Xenopus tropicalis: one gene and its partner. The protein of the gene in region 1 purifies or fractionates together with the protein of each later gene. This does not show direct contact. Links are inferred from orthologs where the notes say so. Each region holds a gene or a part of one and is shown in the gene's direction. Other genes may lie near its edges.

Evidence for each region.
Region 2: the proteins of ppme1 (region 1) and ppp4c purify together in Homo sapiens (affinity purification with mass spectrometry; 3 studies listed by BioGRID and IntAct, with this or other methods). This does not show direct contact. The link is inferred for Xenopus tropicalis from reciprocal best matches to the Homo sapiens genes PPME1 and PPP4C.

The regions. Positions count from the first base shown.
Region 1 is NC_030678.2:174,863,636-174,866,479, reverse strand, and holds the end of ppme1 (protein phosphatase methylesterase 1), read left to right. Parts: intron 1-196; coding exon 197-261; intron 262-352; coding exon 353-420; intron 421-1,637; coding exon 1,638-1,656; 3' UTR 1,657-2,344; downstream 2,345-2,844. UniProt on the Homo sapiens protein: Demethylates proteins that have been reversibly carboxymethylated. Demethylates PPP2CB (in vitro) and PPP2CA. Binding to PPP2CA displaces the manganese ion and inactivates the enzyme.
Region 2 is NC_030685.2:2,447,928-2,450,342, reverse strand, and holds the end of ppp4c (serine/threonine-protein phosphatase 4 catalytic subunit), read left to right. Parts: intron 1-644; coding exon 645-774; 3' UTR 775-1,915; downstream 1,916-2,415. UniProt on the Homo sapiens protein: Protein phosphatase that is involved in many processes such as microtubule organization at centrosomes, maturation of spliceosomal snRNPs, apoptosis, DNA repair, tumor necrosis factor (TNF)-alpha signaling, activation of c-Jun N-terminal kinase MAPK8, regulation of histone acetylation, DNA damage checkpoint signaling, NF-kappa-B activation and cell migration.

The DNA.
Region 1 (2,844 bases):
TGGGCTAAACATTAACCCTATCTGTAACAATGGCCCCTTTATTGGAGCTCCCTATAGATCCTCTCAGGTCCCTGTCTGGGTTTCAAATGAGGGGTGGGCGTGTCCTAACGGTCCCTGCCAGAAGCACAGTAGGAGGGGGAGAGCCAATCACAGCCCTGCAGTGTGGTTCATCACTGAATTTCTTGTTCTGCCGCAGGAAAGTTTCAGATGCAAGTGCTGCCCCAGTGCGGACACGCTGTGCATGAAGATGCCCCCGATAAGGTGAGACTTATAGAGCGCTATGTCTCTTGGAGAGAATTGAAGCTTTTTTTTAAGTTTGTTCCTAATTCTGGGCCATGTGATTTCTCTCAAGGTTGCAGAAGCCGTCGCCACGTTCTTGGTGCGTCACAGGTTCGCAGAATCAGTGGGCGGATTCCATTGGTAAGAGCTGGTGTCGCTATTGGCTGTATAGCAGCGACTGTGTGCGTCCAATAGGACTCTCCTTGCAGGGTCTAATGATTGCATGGGTACATACATTTGTTTTACTTGTCTCATCCGGTTATTTGACCACCCCCCCCCCCCCAAGCCATGACCCAATGCAGTCCTGACCCAATGAGATTTGCCATACACAGGCTGCATATATATGTCAGTCATGTGACGGAACTGACATCACTAAGCTCCGATTATAACTGATGACATCACTAAGCACCATTTATAAGGATATAATTTACAGTTTGGTCCCATAGGGAAATTAACAAACTGTATATTATATAGTATGTATATTACTGTATATTATGTATATAAATGTACAGTTTGTTAATTTCCCTATGGGACCAAACTGTAAATTATATCCTTATAAATGGTTCTTAGTGATGTCATCAGTTACAGTCGGAGCTTAGTGATGTTATTTCTGTCACATGACTCACTGAAACTTATATATTGTAATAAACTAGTAGAAGTCACTTCAGAGTTCCGTGACCTGTATAAGCACTTTACCTTTGGCCTTGTGGTCACATAACTCCTCAGTGACTTATATTATCCCTATATGTTACAATAGGGGGCACTTTATTCACTATATATTATAAGGAACTCCTCGGGGGCTTATAATATCCCTATATGTTACAATAGGGGGCACTTTATTCACTATATATTATAAGGAACTCCTCAGTGACTTATATTATCCCTATATGTTACAATAGGGGGCACTTTATTCAGTATATATTATAAGGAACTCCTCGGGGGCTTATAATATCCCTATATGTTACAATAGGGGGCACTTTATTCACTATATATTATAAGGAACTCCTCGGGGGCTTATAATATCCCTATATGTTACAATTGGGGGCACTTTATTCACTATATATTATAAGGAACTCCTCGGGGGCTTATAATATCCCTATATGTTACAATTGGGGGCACTTTATTCACTATATATTATAAGGAACTCCTCGGGGGCTTATAATATCCCTATATGTTACAATAGGGGGTACTTTATTCACTATATATTATAAGGAACTCCTATGGGACTTATAATATCCCTATATGTTACAATAGGGGGGCACTTTATTCACTATATAATATAATCTGTAGTTTATGAGTGTCGGTATATTAGCCCCCATGCCGGCCCATCCCAGTAACGTCTGTTCTTCTGTCCCCAGTGTGTTCCCTGCCTGTTAGTATGCTGCTGGCCGTGGGGAAAGGAGCTGTAAATAGTCTGAAACCAGAGGTAACTGTGATGATCCAAGTTCTCACCATCAGCCTGATACAAAGGAGGAAACGTGGGTTCCTATCTGTGTGTGCGGCGGCACCGCAACAACCGCCACCATTCTGTTGCTATAGCGCCGGCCAGCCCCCCTGTGCCGCACTCGGCTCAGACCCTCTCTGTGCAGTACACTTGGCTCTCTTCTGATTTATCCCTTCCATAATCTCCTCCTCATCGCCAGCCGTCTGCAGATATCACAGTTTGGGGTGAACCTTTTGATATTGGGCAGTCATAGAGAAGCTTTGCCGTTTGCTCTGGGGGTTTGGGGTTCTGGATGATACCAAACATTCTGGCGGGGGGGAGTAGGGGGCAAGACAATCTCATCATTGCTTATTCACTACAGACTGGAATGGCTATCAAGCTGGTAAGGAAGGTAGGGAAGATTCATTGTATTACCATCAGTTATTCAGGGGCTCATATTGGTTTGCTTGCCTATAGCTTTCCAATGGGATGTTGGTGAGAGGGTACACTGGGGGTCATTTATCAACACTGGGCAGATTTGCCCATGGCAGTAGCCTATGGCAACCAATCAAATTGTTGCATTCATTCTTCTACCTGCATCTAGCTGAAGGCCCAAACAGCCCCCCCCCCCCCCCCAGCCCAATAAATAGTGACTGTCTGGCACCTTACAGCCCCCCTGGCATTCCCAGTACCCAGAGGCACAAACAGTCCCCCCCCCAGCCCAATAAATAGTGACTGTCTGTGGCACCTTACAGCCCCCCTGGCATTCCCAGTACCCAGAGGCACAAACAGCCCCCCCAGCCCAATAAATAGTGACTGTCTGTGGCACCTTACAGCCCCCCCGGCATTCCCAGTACCCGGAGGCACAAACAGCCCCCCCCAAGCCCAATAAATAGTGACTGTCTGTGGCACCTTACAGCCCCCCTGGCATTCTCAGTACCCGGAGGCACAAACAGCCCCCCCCCCAGCCCAATAAATAGTGACTGTCTGGCACCTTACAGCCCCCCTGGCATTCCCAGTACCCAGAGGCACAAACAGCCCCCCCAGCCCAATAAATAGTGACTGTCCGTGGCACCTTACAGCCCCCCTGGCATTCCCAGTACCCAGAGGCACAATCAGCCCCCCCAGCCCAATAAATAGTG
Region 2 (2,415 bases), on another chromosome or scaffold:
GAAGCACAGTAGGAGGGGGAGAGCCAATCACAGCCCTGCACTCACACAAGCACAGACAGGCTTCAGTTCCCTATCAGGTCAGCCTAGCTGCTGATTGGTTCCTATCCTACAGTACAGAAACACAACTTTTTAAGCACAATCCTTCTATATCTAGAGGAGTATAATTCCCTGGTACATTCTTAATTTTTATAGGATATGTCTCCTTTAACCCTATCTGTAACAATGGCCCCTTTATTGGAGCTCCCTATAGATCCTCTCGGGTCCCTGTCTGGGTTTCCAGTGAGGGGTGGGCGTGTCCTAATGGTCCCTCTAGGAGGGGGAGAGCCAATCACAGCCCTGAACTCACACAAGCACAGACAGGCTTCAGTTCCCTATCAGGTCAGCCTAGCTGCTGATTGGTTCCTATCCTACAGTGCCGCCGGCCCCCCTGCACAGCCTGGGAAAGGAGGCAGCAGGAAGTGGGTTTTTGGAGAAATTTCTCAATAAATCAGCCCCAAACACTACTTTTTAAAGCCCATTCCTTCTGCATTTAGATGAGTACAATTCATTGGCACAATATTGGTTGTCACACAGTGTCCCCTTTAGTTCCGCTCATTGAGTGTGAGTGTGTGCCCCCCCGCAGCCTGACTCTGTGTTCTCTGTAGGTGCGGGAATGTCGCCGCCATACTTGAGCTGGACGAACACCTACAGAAAGAATTCATCATATTTGAGGCTGCCCCCCAGGAGACGAGAGGTATCCCCTCCAAGAAACCCGTCGCTGATTACTTCCTGTGACCCGCCCAATGATGGCCTCTGCACCATTTCCTCCTGATTGTCTTTTTGAACTGCTCCCAGCACAACTCTCTCTCCTCCTCTCACCTCTGGCAACGGGACCAGTGCTGCTGTTTCTAAACAAATGATTTGCCAGCGCCCAGCTCCGCTGCAGAGCATCGCCCCTTCTTTTCTAGATCCATCTCACGGAGCCTCGTGTGTGTGTGTATGTGTTAGGTAGCAACGGTTGGGAAGAGAGAGCTACCGCTGTGTATATAGCATGGCCGTGCCACCCCTACAGTGAATTAGCAATGCCCTGCCAGCTCTTCTAGCAAAGGAGGAGATATCCGGAAACTCCTGTAGCCGTGCTGCGCCTCTCAGGAAACTAGGTAAATGTAATGCTCTGCAGGACTTTCAGGGGGGGTCAGTGTGATGCTTTCTAGTAGGGAGAGAGGGGGGGGCAGCATTATGCAAGGAAACCAAAATACTTCTAGAATTCACAGCTTCTTCCTTGATTTTATAACCCCCCCCCCCCCCCAGATCCGCAGTCATTCCTTATAATGTCTCTTCCACTCGGAGCCTCACGTCCCCTGTACTAAGATGCTGAGCTTACACTCACGTACGGAGTGCCTTAGTGCAAGCGGGGCCCGGGCGCCCAATCCCAGCTGGGGGGGACCAGGAGAGACATGATGATGATGATGATGATGGAACCCGCCGCCCCTTCTCTATTTAGAAGCTGCGGCAGATCTAAGATTTGAGCCCCTTTTGGTGCCGATTGGCAACTTTTGAGCCAAAGTGTTCACCGTAGCTGGCCCCTGTAGCTCAGCGAAGCCATTCTGGGCTGCCGGGAACGTGAGTAGCCATTTTGTTTAACCCTTTGTAAGCGGCTAGCTGAGAGATTGCTTTGGCAAGGAGGCATCTAAAGCTTCAGCTCGTGTATTGCCACCTACAATGCCAAACCTCCGATTCCTTCCCTGGAACAGCCGATATTCCATTATAACTCCCTTCCTTTCGTCTATGGCCCCAGTCTCTTGTTCCGCACTCTTTCTGGTCAAAGATTTTATCCTTTTTCCCTTTTATTTTTATTTTTTTTTTCTTCTAATTTTACATTTTTGGTAGGATACAGTTAAACATCTGCTAATAAAATGAGAAAAAGCAATAAAAATGGAAAATGTATTTGTATATATTTATATGTTAAGTCTGTTAATGCTTCGGTTGGTCAGTAGAAAAGGGGCGGGTGTAGGACCCGTTATCCACAAAGCTCAGGGTATTCTAGATAAGGGGTCTTCCTGTAATTTGGATCTCCGTACCTTAGTCTACTAAAAAAAATTAATTCAACCAATAGGATTGTTTTGCCCCCAATAAGGATTAATTATATCTCCATTGGGGTCAAGTACAAGGTACAGGTATGGGATCAGTTATCCGGAAACCGGTTATCCAGAAAGTTCCGAATTAGGGGAAGGCCGTCACTCTGTTTTATTATTACAGAGAAAATTTAAATCGGTTTTATTTGATTAAAATGGAGTCTATGGGAGACGGGCTTTCCGTTATTTCGGGCTTTCTGGGTAACCGATCCCTTACCTCTACGTTGCAATTGGTCTTCCTTATTTATTTATTTATTTTTATAGTTTTTGGATTATTTGCCTTCATCAAATAGGGGTCACT